2 linked regions of the Tribolium castaneum genome follow. The protein of the gene in region 1 purifies or fractionates together with the protein of each later gene. This does not show direct contact. Links are inferred from orthologs where the notes say so. Each region holds a gene or a part of one and is shown on either strand. Other genes may lie near its edges. The genes, in order: V-type proton ATPase catalytic subunit A and ATPsyngamma.

The links.
Region 2: the proteins of V-type proton ATPase catalytic subunit A (region 1) and ATPsyngamma fractionate together in Homo sapiens (co-fractionation; 3 studies listed by BioGRID). This does not show direct contact. The link is inferred for Tribolium castaneum from reciprocal best matches to the Homo sapiens genes ATP6V1A and ATP5F1C.

The regions. Positions count from the first base shown.
Region 1 is NC_087402.1:9,100,496-9,108,791, forward strand, and holds the end of V-type proton ATPase catalytic subunit A, read left to right. Parts: coding exon 1-316; intron 317-371; coding exon 372-509; intron 510-2,838; coding exon 2,839-2,990; intron 2,991-3,041; coding exon 3,042-4,179; 3' UTR 4,180-4,579; downstream 4,580-8,296. Other genes in the region: Sas10 (something about silencing protein 10), read right to left, coding at 4,592-4,684, 4,735-4,871, 4,918-5,264, 5,315-5,565, 5,608-6,019, 6,067-6,110; CLK4-associating serine/arginine rich protein, read left to right, coding at 6,425-6,523, 6,573-6,670, 6,718-7,013, 7,060-7,333, 7,381-7,541, 7,591-7,792. UniProt on the Homo sapiens protein: Catalytic subunit of the V1 complex of vacuolar(H+)-ATPase (V-ATPase), a multisubunit enzyme composed of a peripheral complex (V1) that hydrolyzes ATP and a membrane integral complex (V0) that translocates protons.
Region 2 is NC_087396.1:15,930,821-15,940,049, forward strand, and holds ATPsyngamma (ATP synthase subunit gamma, mitochondrial), read left to right. Parts: upstream 1-1,737; 5' UTR 1,738-1,891; intron 1,892-2,062; 5' UTR 2,063-2,070; coding exon 2,071-2,362; intron 2,363-2,410; coding exon 2,411-2,730; intron 2,731-4,636; coding exon 4,637-4,900; 3' UTR 4,901-5,094; downstream 5,095-9,229. Other genes in the region: elongation factor Tu, read right to left, coding at 1-148, 197-425, 475-849, 897-1,490; endoplasmic reticulum metallopeptidase 1, read right to left, coding at 5,104-5,566, 5,618-5,823, 5,874-6,026, 6,076-6,260, 6,308-6,485, 7,922-8,139, 8,191-9,205.

The sequences.
Region 1 (8,296 bases):
AGCGGCTATGTACGAGCTGGTGCGTGTGGGGTACTCCGAACTGGTCGGGGAAATTATTCGTCTGGAGGGCGAAATGGCCACTATCCAGGTATACGAAGAAACTTCAGGTGTTACGGTGGGTGATCCAGTCTTGCGAACTGGTAAACCCTTGTCGGTGGAGCTGGGCCCAGGTATTATGGGTTCGATTTTTGACGGTATCCAGAGACCGCTGAAGGACATCAACGAGCTTACGCAAAGTATTTACATTCCTAAGGGTGTTAATGTGCCATCGTTGTCGCGTACGACTAAGTGGGAGTTTGCCCCATTGAATATCAAGGTAAAAGTTGTGATTTGTTAAAGTTGGAGGTTTATTAATAGTCGTTTGGGCACAGTTGGGGTCACATTTGACAGGCGGTGATATTTACGGGATTGTCCATGAAAACACTCTCGTCAAACATAAAATGCTGCTACCGCCCAAAGCCAAGGGGACTGTCACATACGTCGCCGATCCCGGAAATTACACAGTCGATGTAAGTATTTTTCTGTATAAAAATTGGCGGCTTGAGGGTTCACAAATAGGTGAAGAGACACGAATATAAAAGCGAAATTTCGTTAAAACAGCAATAACCAAATTACGGCGAAAATTATGCGATTTTGGCCTAAAAACATGCTTATTTTGAGGGATTTGAAATCTAATGCAATTGATGAGCTTAAAAGAAAATTTACAAATGTTCTAAAGGGAACGTACAAATTCTATAATCTTACCTTATTTGACAAAATCGATTATTTAAAGACTTTTGATGTCAACAAAGGATGAAATATTAAAAATTATACACAATACCATAAAGTAAAATCTTGAAATTTGTTTAGTCTTGAAAAAATTGAGAGATCTATAGATTATTTGCGATTTTGATAAAAATAGTAGTTTAAGTCTGCTAAAGTATGCGACTACTGATTGCAAATGCACATAAACTTAAGATTCTGTTTAAAATAAACGCCTTGCAACATCTATTAGTGATAATGTTTAATATTTACTAATCAATCAATAGACATTCCGGAATAATTTAAAATATGCACGTATATTCTATTTATCTGTTAACTCTGACGTTATTTTTTGTCTTATGATTATGAATCATGTAACAAATATCTTATAATTTGATAATTCCATGTTTTCTCAGATTTCTAAAACAATAAATTTCAAGACTAACTTTTTGTTGCTCTGTGTCGTTATCAAAATAAACATTAGGAATCTGGTAATTTGCCAATTTAATTGCAACTAATTCTTGTAAACCGTCTCTAAAAGTTCTCTACAGCAACCATAATCCGTTAAAAATATTTGCATAATTGTTTGCTGTTTTAAATCGATAGTTTATTTTCACAATGCATTTTCTGTTAATTAATTTTCCATATTTTAGTCATCAAAACTCTTCAAATAATAGACTATTTAAATATTGTTGAATTCATCATTAAATCACTACTCAACAAAAAAATTTTTTTATCCTTTTTCTGGTTCTAGATAACCAAATTAGCTTTTATTTTCAAGATACGCACCAGCCCATCGACAGAGAAATCTATTTAAAGTTAAAACAGTGAAGACAAATTCCTGTAATTTTTTGATAAAAATAAAAAATTAAAATTAAATTATTATACGGGGTGTAACGAAAAGAGATCTTTTTTTTTCATAAACAAAAGAGATTTTCGAGGTCAAAATAAAACGATTTAAATCCTGGATTTAACCCAACTTACCTCTGCTGTACTAAGTTGCACCGTGTAAAAGTTAGAAAGCGCCAAAGTTCAAAAATTATTTTCGAATTTTACTTAGTAATTTTAAAATGGAATTATAGATTTTAATGAAATTTGAGACAAGTAACTTGTCATCAAAATCACATGTTTTGGTGCTATTTTTTTAGTTTTTTAAATAAATTAAGTAGAAATGTCAACAATTCAGACGTTGTTTTTTCCAATTTTTCCATAACGGCAAAGTAGATTTTAATTAATTGTAATGAGTAGAAATAGAACGATTTTTTAAAATTCACATTTTTATGAGGAAATTGTTTAAATAAATAACTAATTACATTATAGTTATTTAAGCCAAAATTAAAAAAAAATTGAAAAAACAATAATAATAGAGGCGAACAGACATCTGAAACTTTGGACACGTCGACTTAAATATTTTTTTACTCTAAACCGATACAAAAATTGTTCAAAGGAAATGAGTCTTTCTAATAAGTAAAATGTGTTAAATTGTTCTTAGGTAAGTACTTTATAATAATATAATAATAATAAAAGAGCCAGTATCAAAATATGTGGAATTGACAAAAATAAATAAATCTAATCTAAAAACAAAACAACAAAAAAAACTTTTAAACGTTATCACGATAATTGTGATTGTAGTTAAAATTTAATTTGCCATGAACTCGAGGTTTGTCAATGCAAAACTAATGGCTACCTAATTCGAATTATTTTAATTCTGGATTATATCTTAATTTCTCGTTCTGTATACGACCAGAAATGTTTGAAACTTAATTGAAAAGGTCAAATAGAGAATCAAGCTAAGAATAAATTTCACACAAACCAGCCATGGTGAGATTAATTACCCAAGCAAGTTCTGTATCTTGACAATAAGAGCTAATCAAAACTTTTTTGATTATTTTCGTGTTTAGCTAGAGAAAATATTTCGGAAATAGCTATTTTTGAGTTGTGATATTATTTGTGGAACTTTGAACGTTCAAATGTTTTTTAATTTTAATTATAATTAAAATTTAATTTAATTTAATATTTAATTTTAATTATAAAAAGCCACTACTTTTAATTATTTTTCATTTGGGGAAAAAATTAAAAATTATCATTACGCTACAGGAAGTCGTCTTGGAGACGGAATTCGACGGCGAGAGGACCAAATACACCATGTTGCAAGTGTGGCCTGTGCGTCAGCCCCGTCCTGTCAGCGAGAAATTGCCAGCCAATCACCCCCTATTAACCGGTCAACGCGTACTCGACTCACTTTTCCCGTAAGCCCCCTTTCAAAAACTAGTCCCTTTTCTCTACCAATTTTTATTTAGGTGCGTCCAAGGGGGTACCACCGCCATTCCCGGAGCTTTCGGTTGCGGTAAGACCGTAATCTCGCAATCTCTCTCCAAATATTCCAACTCTGACGTTATCATTTACGTCGGTTGCGGGGAGCGTGGTAACGAAATGTCTGAAGTATTGCGGGACTTCCCCGAACTGACAGTCGAAATCGAAGGCCAAACAGAGTCTATCATGAAACGTACCGCTCTTGTCGCCAACACCTCTAACATGCCTGTAGCCGCCCGTGAGGCTTCAATTTACACCGGTATTACACTGTCTGAGTATTTCCGTGATATGGGTTACAACGTGTCGATGATGGCCGATTCCACCTCGCGTTGGGCCGAAGCTTTGAGAGAAATTTCCGGTCGTTTGGCTGAAATGCCCGCCGATTCTGGATACCCCGCGTATTTGGGGGCCCGTTTGGCTTCGTTTTACGAGCGTGCAGGGCGTGTTAAATGCTTGGGTAACCCTGATCGTGAAGGTTCCGTTTCTATTGTCGGGGCCGTATCGCCCCCTGGTGGTGATTTCTCTGATCCCGTCACCTCAGCTACCTTGGGTATCGTACAAGTGTTCTGGGGGTTGGATAAAAAACTAGCCCAACGTAAACATTTCCCTTCGATCAATTGGCTGATTTCCTACTCTAAATACACGCGCGCTTTGGACGATTTCTACGATAAAAACTTCCAAGAGTTTGTCGCGTTGCGTACTAAGGTCAAGGAGATCTTGCAAGAAGAAGAAGACTTGTCCGAAATCGTGCAACTGGTCGGTAAAGCCTCCCTAGCCGAGACCGATAAAATCACTCTTGAGATTGCCAAGTTGCTTAAGGAAGATTTCTTGCAACAGAATTCGTACTCGTCGTACGATAGGTTCTGTCCGTTCTACAAGACGGTGGGTATGTTGAAAAATATGATCGGTTTGTACGATATGTCGCGACATGCTGTTGAAAGCACCGCGCAGTCTGAAAATAAAATCACGTGGACCGTGATCAGGGATTCCATGAGCAATATTTTGTACCAGTTGAGCAGTATGAAGTTCAAGGACCCAGTTAAAGACGGCGAGGCGAAAATCAAAGCCGATTTTGACCAGTTGTACGAGGATATTCAACAAGCCTTCAGGAACTTGGAGGATTAAATTAGTTTTATTGTAGGCCGTATATTTAACCTCACTATAAAATTGCCGTCTTTCGATATTAATGTACAATATGTTTATAAATGAATTAGTTCATAGGTCTAAGTCCTATAGATTAGAGGTGAGGGTAAATTGCTAAATTTCGTCCCTTCATTCCAGTTACTTTTAAGGAATTTTTATTTTCGTGTTTCCGTGCAATTATCAGCTTTCCAGTATTATCGGGACCTTTTTTTCTTTACATTTTATTTTTTCGTTATTTACGCATATTTCGATGTTGTATATTTTATCATGTTATTCAAACGGCTACTTGTACAGTTATCTGTGTTAATATTAAGTGAACTAGCTAGAAAATAGCACAATAAATTGTTTTATTGTAAACAGAAATAAAAGCATTGTTGTTTCATATGCGTTTTTATTAAGTCTTAATTTTAATGCTCTTGGAAACACTTGCTTTAATCCCGGAAAGCTCCCCACCATATCTCGTCATTTCGGTTCGCGGCTCACGAACCTAAAAATAGCGCAATTAAATTTAAGAAAAAATACTAAAAGTTGACATACAGCTCCTCTCCTTCGTATTTTTGCTTTTCTAAACTTGTTCCTATGCTTCACTCTTGGATTTCTTTGTTCCTTCTTTCTGTGCGGCGTGAGACCCTTATTTTTGGCAATCTGGTAAGTTATAGCCCTCTTGCCAGGATCTACAACAAAACATGACTAAAAAATCGCAACAAACAAAAATCAAACCATTCTCGGGAACATTTGCCTCTTCGTCTTGCATTTGCTGTTCATTATCTGTTGCTTCTTTTTCGTCCACTTCTGGTTTAAATTGGACTTTTTTCCCTGCTGGTTTCTTGTCTTTCTTTTCCGTTTTGTTAACCAATGTGCTCAACACCTTTAATGTTTTTTTCGGAACTTCTTTTTCTTCTTCATTCAAGAGTAACTCAATTTGGGGCTTAATCACCTCTTCGAAAACTGGCGTCATTTGTGATAACAGTTGTCTGTATTGGTACAAACGTTTTATGATTGGGTGGTTTTGCACGTTAACTCTTGAGGCTTTCAACAGTAAATACATGTTGATGTTAACGCAATAACTACAATTTTGTGAATTAGGAAAAATAAAATAGAAAATTGAGAAAAATACTTTAAAATTAATTCGTGGTGAGTCACCACAAACTCCATTGCTGAACAGTTGGGGATTTGCCCCTTTTTAAATTTAACCAAAACTGGTTTGAGGAAGTCTCGAGCGACAACCATTTTTTCTTCAAAATCTTCAACCAGTCCGAAGAATTCTGGCGATTCCTTTTGCAGTATTTGTAATTTTTGCCTTTTACTTAATTTGGAAATGTCGCTTTTGATCAATTCTTCCGACACTTGTTTATCGTCCTCAATGACCTATCCACGATTTAGTAAAAAATCAAAAAATTTAAACCCTACCTTTTTGGTGGGCACATCCAAGCAAAAATCATCATCGTCTAGCTGTTCAGCCAACTGTTTTTGTAAATTCCTTGCTTCCTCTTCCTCCAATTCGGCCAAGTGGGCATCCTTACCTTGGAAGCCCCCATAGTCAGGGTCTACGTAGTCTGTTGAATAAAACTTCCTCTTGTCTTTGCCCCAGGCCCTAATATCAGGCAAATCGTCTTGGTCCTCTTGCTCCTCAACGTCACTCAGTGCAATATCACTTTGGTCATCGTCATCGTCAGTGCCAGAACCCACCCCAAACACTTCCCCCTCACTGTCTGAGTCTTTAGATTGTTTGTTTCGCACTTTCTTCAGAAGGATTTTCTCGTTTTCGGTATAATCCTCGTCAGAATCTGTAGGGTTGTAGTCACTTTCATTTTCGTTAAATCTAGAAAAAGGAGTTATAAGTGTTACAAAAAAATAATGTAACACCACCTTATATGAGACATGCTTTCACAAGACTTCAAACTTGTCCACATGCAAAAAGTGAGGTTGTGTAACGTAATGACGGGGCGGGAGAATCAAAAACCCTAAACAAAAATAATTATCGCAACAAAAAATCAATTTTGTCTGTTTTTGTTGTGAAAATATTAAAGTAGATTCATTTATATGGCGATGAGCTATTAAAAAATTGTTAATTTTTTAGGAGCATAAAATTAAAGTGAGCGCGTCCTTGGGTTAGCGCAACGCGCGTTGACAGATGTGTGAAATGTGATGGCATTTTTATTTCTTGTAACCGCCTCTTAATTATTGTTATTTTCGGTTGATTACACAAGTTTTAAACATAAAAACCATGTGGCATGAGGCAAGACGACAAGAACGCAAAATTCGTGGCATGTTGGTGGACTATCGGCGAAGGGCAGAACGACGCCGTGATTTCTACGAAAAAATCGTATTGTTCCCTCATTTCCTATCCAATTTAATCTACTGTTGTTTTATAGAAAGCCGACCCAACTCAGTTTTTACAAATCCACGGAAGACAATGCAAGATTCACTTGGACCCCTCCATCGCAGCTGCGGCAGACAGTGCTTCGGCAATGTGAGCCCCTATATTACACTAAATGGGCGACAATCAATTTGTTACAGGATGCCGTGGCAAGGACAAGCTGATAATTTAATTGACCGTTTTGATGTAAGAGCACATTTAGATTTTATCCCCCCTGTTAAGAAGGAAGAAGAGGAGGAATTGACGTTTGAAGAACGGCAAATTAATTACGAACGGTACCGGATTATTGCCCAAAACTCGTTCCTTAGCATCAATGAGGAGAAGTTTTTGAAACAATTGCATCTGGAGGAGCAGTTTGGCTACACTGAGTCCAAGTCAAAGAAGGAGCAAAGGACTGGAGGTGCTAGTATTGGGTTTAACTACGAGGACAACACTGGTGGGTTTTAAACGCTGTTGGGGTAAAATCGAGTCGGAATTTTTAGCACAAACTTTGGCCCCTGACTACCACAATGATGAAGAATCAGACGGCAATTCTGATTCTGATTTGGACGTTGATTTGTCCATTAATGTTTCAAAAATGGATTCGGTTCAAGCACACGAAATGAATCGCCACGGCAGAAACTTTGGGATGAGCTCAAATGATTTTTATTCGTTTCTTACAAATGATCTTGAAGAGGCGGAAAGCTTCAGACTTGCCAAAGAAGAAGAGCATGAAAAAGCCTTGTTTTCAGGACGAAAATCGCGAAGGGAGCGCCGGTATTTATCCACAATTAGCTGTATTTTTTATCTAATTTTTTTGATAGAGCACATAGGGAAAAACGTCTGGCTAATAGGGTGATAAGTCCTCCAAGTTACGCCGCACGGACATCACCTACTTACCCTTCGTTTCGGAAAAGTAAATCGCCTTCGAAATCACCGACGCCGGAAAATAGTGGCAAAATTACATACATCACATCGTTTGGTGGTATTTAAATTGTTACTGTTTTTGGCGCTTTTAATCTCGTTTTATTTAGATGAGGAAGAAAGCCCTTCGACTAGTAAACCAAACAATGATAAGTCAAAGCAAGCAAAAAAGAGACGAAGAAATTCTAGTTCAGAAAGAACAGTTTATAGGAGAAGTTACAGTAGAGAAAAGAATTATAAAGGAAGGCGGTCAAGGAGTCGAGATACGAGGAGTCGCTCAAGGGCAAGACGGCGAAGTATCTCAAGAGATAGGTGAGACATTTTTTTAAAAATGAAATGATTTTAATATTTTAAATGTTTTATTAATACAAAATTAATATACAACGTAAAATGAATCGTAGAATTTGCTGGAACAAACTGTTTTGCTCTACACCTTTTCCGTTTTGAGTTATGATTTTCTTAGTGTAAAATAGAGAAATAGATAATTTCAAGTTCAATCTGCTTTTTGAATTTGTGCTCTTATAGTCTTATGGTTTCCAAAAACGCGAGAAAACGTAGCAATTTTCGCTTTTCAAGCGCCGATTACGGCGAAACAATTAAAAGTTAGCGTTGTTGTTTTTCTTATTTTACCTATTTTTACATTTTTTGTTTGCTATTTTCTTGAAAACTATTAGTCAGAGGACGATGTTTTTTTTTGAAAAAGATTGATATCTAATGGAGCTTTCCAACGATAATAAACTTAATGAGGTTATCTCTATTAGTTCCGGAGTTATTGCCCGACAAATGTACAGGGTACCGAAATTGACAAAAATCTCG
Region 2 (9,229 bases), on another chromosome or scaffold:
GGGAGAGTGGCAGTGATAATTCCAGTCGCTACTGTTACTTTATTTTCCCTAATTGTAAAGGTTTGCCCAGGCAGCATTACCATTTTTGATAAAAGTGTAAGTTCAACTTGTCCATGTTCACCGGGCATTATCATTTCAACACCTTTAGCTACAAATATGTGATGAGGTAACAACCTATAGAAAATATCAAACAAACCTAGATCAACTCTACACGATATACTCCAGGTTTTGCTAAACAACTGTTGGATGTATTTTCCCGTGACAGGTTTCGATCTACCGCCTTCATTTTTCGCTAGGAAGTAAATGCTTCCAGCAAACCTATTCGATAACGTAACACTATTTGCTTGGCACAATAGCATCCCTCTTTGGATATCTTTCAGTTTCACGTTTCGTAGCAAAAGACCGACGTTTTCGCCAGCTTTTGCCTGAAATTTCATCGTGAGATCAAAGTGATGTAATGATTTATTTTCTCACTTCAGGGACACTTTTTTTGAAAACTTGTATATCTCCGATTGTTGTCTTTAATTTTGTGTCAAAACCCACGAGTTCAGAACTTGCGTTTTTCTTGACAATTCCTCTATGAATAGTTCCTACAACGACTGTCCCTCTCCCGGGGACAAGGAAAGTGTTGTCAATGGGGACCATAAAAGGTGACTTAAAATCACGTTCAGGCACTGGAATATACTCATCCAGAGTGTCCAACAATTTCCTAATTGCTTTCTCCCCAAATTCTGACTGTTCCCCTTCTAAAGCTTTCAACGCAGACCCACAAATCACTGGTGCATTTTCACTGTCAAACCCGAAATCTTCCAACAACTCCCTAATTTCGAGCTCAACCAACTCTAAAACCTACAATCCCAGCTTACAACATAAACCAATCACAAATTATCTTTTGCCTCATTATCCACCAAGTCGGCTTTATTCACAAAAACCACAATGTTCTTCACCCCGACTTGCTTCGCAAGCAGCAGGTGTTCCCTGGTTTGGGGCATTTGGCCGTCGGTAGCCGCCACGACTAAAATAGCCCCATCCATTTGGGAGGCCCCCGAGATCATATTTTTGATGAAATCGGCATGCCCGGGACAGTCAGTGTGAGCGTAATGGCGCTTTTTCGTGCTGTAGCCCACATGGGCCGCGTTTATCGTAATTCCGCGCGCCTTTTCTTCGGGGGCTTTGTCAATCTCGTCGTACGAGACGTAGGAGGCAAGACCATCTTTTTGCAATATTTTAGTGATGGCAGCGGTTAGGGTGGTTTTTCCGTGATCGACATGTCCAATTGTACCCACATTAATGTGTTTTTTGTCGGCGATATCCGAATATTTTCGAAAATTTAGCGCCGGACGTGACAGATTGAGGTTAGGTGACACTCGGTGACATAACCGGTACGAAAATATGAAACTGTTTTGCAAGGATGTGCCACTTGACGAGGAAAATAGTGCCTTTTGAGGCGAAAAGACTTGGACTAGCTTTAGAAGTTTCAATTTGGACATTTTTGTAATTTTTGAGAGGGTCAAATTGTCAACCCTCACATCTCAACATCTCATCCTCATTATATCTTATTTACTAAAAATCTCATAATATGAAATTTTCTCGTCTTTTCTTATGTAAAAATTTGAAACTAATATAAAATGATGATATTAACTTTGCCGTGTATATCTATCGTTTTGTTGGTGTAAGAACTTGAATATTTATTTTTGTAAGGCTAAAAATTTATAGGACTCCAATCACAAATAAATTGTAGCAGCTCCCTCTACTTTTACATGTCACTTTTTACGTCACCAATTTTTTATAAACTTTATTGTCAGGTGACATAAGAGCTATTATTGCAAATCTCCAAATAGTTCATTTTTTAGCCACTTCTTGCAGTTTCTGACCCAGGCGAAGTCGCAAGGTTAGTACCGAAGATCAAAATTTTCCATTTTTTTCGCTATTTTACGTAATTAACTCAATTTAATGTTTGTTTCCCCATCTAACATGTCATTGCTTTCGATTACATAATACCCATTATCGAATTTTATCAGATTTTTCTGCATATAAATTCCGGTTACATAATCTATTTCAGATCCAATCATGTTGGGTCGTTTCGGTAGTTTGGTGCCTTTAGTCACCCAAAATGTGCAACAACAAAGGGGTATGGCCACCCTTAAGTCCATTTCGATTCGCCTCAAGTCCGTCAAAAACATCCAAAAGATCACCCAATCAATGAAGATGGTGTCGGCCGCTAAATACTCCCGTGCCGAACGCGAGCTGAAACAAACGCGCCCCATCGGAAGTGGAGCCACCCAGTTTTACGAGAAGGCCGAAATTTCGGCCCCTGAGGACCTTCCCCAGAAGCTTTTAATCGCAATGACTTCAGACAGAGGTAAACGCCCCCAGTACGAAAGATCTGGACCGAAATTTAATGTTTTAGGTCTTTGTGGAGCTGTCCACACCAGTGTTGCTCGTCTTATTCGCAATGAGTTGAATAATGACCAACAAAATTTGAAAGTTGTGTGCGTCGGAGACAAGTCGCGACTTATCTTGCAACGCATGTATGGCAAAAACATTATCATGGCATGCAACGAAATCGGGCGTTTGCCCCCAACTTTCACCGATGCCTCAAAATTGGCCGATGCTATCCTCAACTCCCAGTATGCGTTTGGGTCGGGACAAATCGTCTTTAATCGGTTCAAGTCGGTCGTGTCCTACAGCACCCAGACCTTGCCCGTCTTCAGCTTGGCCGCAGTTAAGGTAATTTATTTTTTTATTAGTTTTTTAGAGCAACTTTTATTTTGTATTTAGCAGTTTAGCTTCTTTTTTGATGAAATATTACTTTAGTACTTTTTTGACAGCGACAAGCAATCAATAAAAAAAGCCTTTTGTCATTACATATTTAGTGAAATTTTCGAGATGCGATATTTTTTTATTAGTCTTTGTACTCTGTAGTGTTGTCCAGTTTTCAAACTAAAAGTTGTGTATTTACGTTAAAAACTTTATTTAATATGTATCTTTTGCAAAAAAAGAAGTTTAGCTTGATCCAGAAGGAAGATATGACGATGTATACGAAAAATTTCACCAATTTTAAGTTTTTCAAAAATTTTCCCAAAAACGTTTTTTTCATGATGAAGGCAAGAGTTCATTACAGGGCCAAAAGTGCTCCATTTTTTATTTAACACTCATTATTGAAGGGAAATAATATTCAAAAAACATCTTTTTTAGTTTTCAGGTTTTTTTCTGAATTAAATAATCTTTTTTTTAAGACTGTTTACATTTTATTTAATTTATCTGTTACCAAATTAATAAACTTTTTATTTTACCATTTGGAGCTGTACATGGCTGTACCTGTTTGGTACCACCCAGCAAAAATTTCCAAGTTTAGAAAAGATTAAATGCAATCAAAATGCAGGCGACACATTGGAATACTTACATTAAAATACTAAGATCCCCAACTTTTTATCATTTTATTATGTTCTATGGAAAAATTCTATTAATTTCCAGTTTGTAATACATGTACTTAAAACTGTTGTTAATAATTATTAAGGTAATAATTTACATTGGATAAGAATTATTAATCACTGACCTACTGCGACAAAATTCTTAAATTTTGATTAAAAGAATTAAACGTCCTCAAAGTTTACTTCGATTTCGCTATTTTTGATTCGATTAACATTAATTATAATTACATTAATAAGAACCAAAATTTAAGTCTTTCGTTTGCCACTGAGTTACAAAAAATGTCTTCTGAATCTGATTTATAAATAACTATAATTCCTTATTATCGGTTTCAGTAGAAACTTAACAAGTTTTCTTAATATGGCTTTTCTCATACTTATCCATTTATCAAAAACTAAAGAAAACAAATCTTACGTTGCTTTAACAGATAATTTTTCCCTTTTTTTACAAAAACCGCGAAACAATCTTTCAGATGACCTTTTCTTATTTATATAAATTTATTGTTTTACAAAGTTGTAAAGATGCAAAATATCATATGTATTGCTCACAAGGTCCTAAATAAAACTGAGAAAAAGGAAATCATACTCTGCAATCAATAAATGATGGCATATTTATTTTTTAGACATGCAGATTGAATAATGTATCCCCCATGTCATTTCATGTCGCATTATCTGTGATGCTATTGCGAGCATAACAGTTTTTTGATATCAGTAGTAAACAACTTGATTTGCTAATTTAAAGCGGTTTTAAATTTTGCACTCATATGCATAAAAATCACAACTATTTGGTAATTTTTCGGGTGGACACAAAGGTGGGCTAGCGATTTTTTAGGTGGACACGACGACCCATAATTCTTCCACTGTCCTCTTAATAATTATTCATGGGCTTCATAAAATTAATGGCTAATGTAATTTATGGTTCTAATGTCCGATCTAATTAACAACTATTAACGTTATTTAAAAAAATAATCTGGTAAAATTCGATGTTTTTATTGAATTGGAATTACAAGTAGCAACTAGAGAAAAGTAATGATAAAAGATCATAATCCAGATATGTAATTGATAATTAACTTTCTCCATTGTTTTCTAGAATAAACACATATTTTTTAGAAAAATGCCATTCCTTGTTTTTCTCCTGTGGTTTTTAAGTAATTAATTTGATTGGGTTTGAAAAATGCGTTGAATTCAAAATCGGTTTTTCGCAGACCGCTGCCAAGCTCCCGGTCTACGACTCCCTCGACGATGAAGTGATCCAGTCCTACTTGGAATTCTCTCTGGCTTCTCTTCTGTATTACGCCATGAAAGAGGGCGCCTGCAGCGAGCAGTCATCCCGGATGACGGCCATGGACAACGCCAGCAAAAACGCCGGCGAAATGATCGACAAACTCACCCTAACGTTCAACCGTACCAGACAGGCCGTAATCACCAGAGAACTGATCGAAATCATCTCTGGTGCTTCGGCCCTTTAGGTAAATACCCCGTAAAAACTTGATAGTATAATGCTGTATGTAAGGGTCGAACAGAATAAAAACCACGTAAGCCCAAAGTCACTGGATCCGGACATCGATCCTGTTTTATTTCGGTTTAACTTTTACATAAAATTCAGCGACATTTTATTGTCATACATTTAATTAACATCAAATAAAATTTGTTCACTGGTCCATCTCATTTTTTAAATCCACCATGATTCGTAGGAACCGAGCCATGCGGTCACGTCCGCCCAATCGGGAAACGAGTTGATGAGTTGGGCGTAGTGGGGGACTTTTCGGTTTTTCTCGTCGTGGACGAAAATGCCCGAAATGGCGATCTCGGTCGTGACTTCGGTAATGTTCGGCGGGACTCGCACGTCGAAGCTAAACCTGAGAGGAGCTGCCTCTTTGCCGTAAATGTGGATGATAAAATACAAATCGCGATCATTCCATTTCGCCGAATCTGAGGGCATTTTGTCGACAAGACTTATATTTAGTACTTTTACACCGAATTTGGGCGAAAAGTAGAGGCCCATGCGGTCCGGACCTGTCACTTGAATATCATAGCGTAAAACATCAGTCGAGATTTTTTCTTTTGATAATACTTCGAGTTTGGTCGGTTCGGGTAATACTGGCTGACCGGCAGGGATCCATGTACTAAACTCACTAAAGTTTGGTTTTTAAAAAATTATACAATTCTTACGAGTTGAGTCTTACATTATTTGAACCATTTTCGAATGAACTAGGGGTAAACCACACAATAAATATTGCTTGCAGTCTTCGGTCAAAGGTCGAGCCCTTGCAAGGTCTTTCACATATTTACTGACGATTTGTGGCGAATTTCTATCCATGTTGAGGAAAAAATAACCAGAGTCGCGTTTAGTTTCGACTCCTTTTTCGTCGTGAAAAACACGACGTGTGTGCTACAAGCAACCAGTCATGCCACACAAACATTTTTTCTGTAACTTATTACCAAAATCCAGTAACGTTCAGGAGCCGGCGAATCCCGATTACCACTATAGGGGAATCCCAGAGGTGTCAACATTATGATAAAACTGACAATAAAAATTCCTGTCAAAAAATACAGCACGTATTTGAAATTCCGTACAAGTGTTGCAAGGGCAACCTGAAATTTTTGCCTAAATTTAAAACAAAAGGTATTGCGAATTAATTACGAAAGGCGAGGTGATTAAAACTGTAAATAGAAGTCCTTGAAGTCCGATTAAAAGGTCAGCATTTTTATCAGGTCCAATTCTCCCGGTAACTGGGATAAAAAGTGATAAAGTCGTTAAAGTTGTGTACATCAGAAACATCGTTGGGATTACCAAACTGATGACATAAATGACTTGCCATCTTCGTACTGAAACATTCTGATTGTTGTCTGTTTACATTATTTTGTTGCGTTACTTGTGTGTTGAATTCGGAACATGTAAATTATTATGAATCCTAGAGTATTGAACAATACGGGCACTAAGAGTGCATACATTGCTCTGATTTGTAAAATGGTCCCAAGAATCATTATCACAGTCCAGATAACACGCACGGAGTGCACTTGTATTTGTGCTTTCACGTTGTGAGTCAAATTCTAAAAGGTGAATTCATCATTAGTTTTAATATTGTTTCGTACAAAAGAAAAGAAAATAAATTTAGGTACAATTTACAGAGGACTAAATACTAGGAGGCGAGGCATGGTACAATATAACTCGATATTCTGCCCAAAAATTAGTGCCGGAGTAAAAATAAGATCGCTTCAATCCGTCTCCCAAGTTGTTTTAAATTAATTTAAATTAAAGACCATTTTTTCTTTTAGAACAAATTTAAACAGTAAAAAAATCTCATAAAAAAGTGCATGTTCGACATGTATCAAAGAAAACCAAAAATGGTTACTACTACAGAGTATTTCCAACTCTGACACCAATACAAACTTGAAAACGCCACCACATCCTTCAAAAAGGTCACAAATTCGTTTTTATAGAATATTTGTTATTTTTCTTTAGCAACAATAACGAGCTCCAAATGAATTTTTATAAGTTCTAAAAATTCGGGGAAGCATATTTCAATCGTCTTCAATGTAATTTCCGTCGGGAAAACAAGTAGGCCAAGCCAAACAAGCGCTTTCCCCAATCAAAATTTTAAAAAACGCTGCAAATACGGTTTAATTTAATACAAGAAAGTTGTAGAGTATTAAATTTCCTACAAAAAAGTACCACAAGACCTCATCTTTAACGGTTTAGACCCAAGACATTCAAAAATGCTCAAGCGATATAGTTCTGTAACATAAGTAGTCTATAACTTTTTGTATCTTCAACCATACGTATTTGCACCCTTTTAAAAATAGAGGACGGTGTGCAAATTGGTAGTTTTTTTTTAATATACAGGGAACCTCCCTTAATGGACACCTCCGAATAACGGACATCTCTTTACAACGGACAGTTTTGTTGGAACGTAACAAAACCTATATTAAAATTTCCCATCTCCCATTAGTAGACACCTCTCCACAACGGACAATTAAAAATTCCCCATCGGTGTCCTTTATTGAGAGGTTTTACTGTAATAATTTTCTGTAAAAGGTTTGCTTTTATCTGATTTAACTCTTGCTAGTGAGAAAAAATTCTATATACTCGTAATTTTTTGTTTGCCTTTTGTCACCATTATATAAATTCATTTATTTTTTATTTCTTTGCTCTCAAAACTGACAGACTAATAGGAACACCTGCGCTATGAGGCTAGAACTACCTAGAAGGGGAACCGTTTTATTTGTACGTCGTGTCGTATCCTAGTTTTTAGTTTCCGTACTTGAGTTTTATAAAGAATAATTGAAAAACTGTATTTTTTATTTTTTAAACTAGAAAATTATTATCGGCTTCTACTTGACGATGTAACTGAGGCATTTCTTTGTGTAATGACTAATGACTGTAGTTTTTCTATGGTTATAAGGTGAAGGATTAAAACACTTAAGCAAACGTGAAAAAAATCCGGGTTTCAAAACGGATAAAAGAGGTAATTTTGCCAATTTGTTACCTTTTGGCTGATGAACGGCAACAAAACAGTCGAAAGTGCAACGGTTGGCGCTGCATAAAGTCCGAAAATCAGCCACGGATTGGCGTACCAACTCATGGAATACCCGATTTTGTCAACAAGGAGTGCCAACAAAACGGCAAAAATCGCTGCTAAAACCCACCCACCGATAATAGCCCCGAAAGTCATCGCTAAATATTTAAGAGTCTGTCGATTATACCCTGAAATAATCAAATGATCCCAGATTTCGCCCCAATTTCAAGTCCACTCACCCAACTTGAAATTGTGAATACTTAAAACAAATATCCCCAGTGAGAAAATCCCCACAATTGAGTTAACGACAATTGCGACGGTTTGCGTGTACGAAACCATCGTAAATCCCAGAAAATCAAAATAGACCGATTTTCCGGGATTATCCTTGGGATTCGCCACTTCAGGTGCATTCCCCAAACTGCGGACCAAATGCAAAGTGTTATCGCCGACGTGCTGGAACGACCCGAGCGGAATGTGCTCGAAGTCGTCGTATTTGGTATGATAGCGGTAGCCGTATTTGAAAAACGCCATATCCAGGCCCACTAATCCTCCATAATCCCGGAAAATCCGGAAATCGGTGTCGGACGGCACCAGATTACTTTGGAAAATCTCCTCGCCGGCGGCTTGCCCGTACGGGTGGGGCACCTTCTTGTAGTGGTTGACCAACCAGGGGGCGTGGGGCCCCGTCTGGAATAAAATTATTTTCCCGCCGGCCCCCGCAGCCTCGAGGTTTATCACGACTTTGCAGTCTCTGGCCCACTTGTGCTGGGTTATGAACCCGTGGGCGGCCTGCAGCCCCGTCTCCTCCGCCCCGTTGAACAGAAAAACCAAATTGTTTAACGGCCGTTGGGGCTCTTGTGTTATTTTGCGCAAAACTTCCAACATCACGGCACAGTTTATCCCATCGTCGCTCCCTCCGGGGCTTGTCGGGACCGAATCAAAGTGTGCGTTGATCAAAACACTCGCGTTTGTTTTTCCGGAAACTTTCACGACAATGTTTTGCAAGTTTGAGTAAGGGACGAATTTCCCGTGGGGCTTCATTTCGATATAATGAGACCCTGTGACTACTTGGACATCTAACTCAATTCGGTGGTTCTTGTGAGCTTTTTGCATAATAATGTTGATCTCGCGCTGGAAAAAATTTGCAGCCAGGACTTCGCTTTCGTAGCCCCCGGCCACACGGGGGCCCAAGTCAGTCAGAAATTTTAAGTCATGACGGGCGCGTTCGGTGATGAAGGCGTCCGGGTGGCTCTTCTGGAAGGGGTTTTTAGGGCTTGG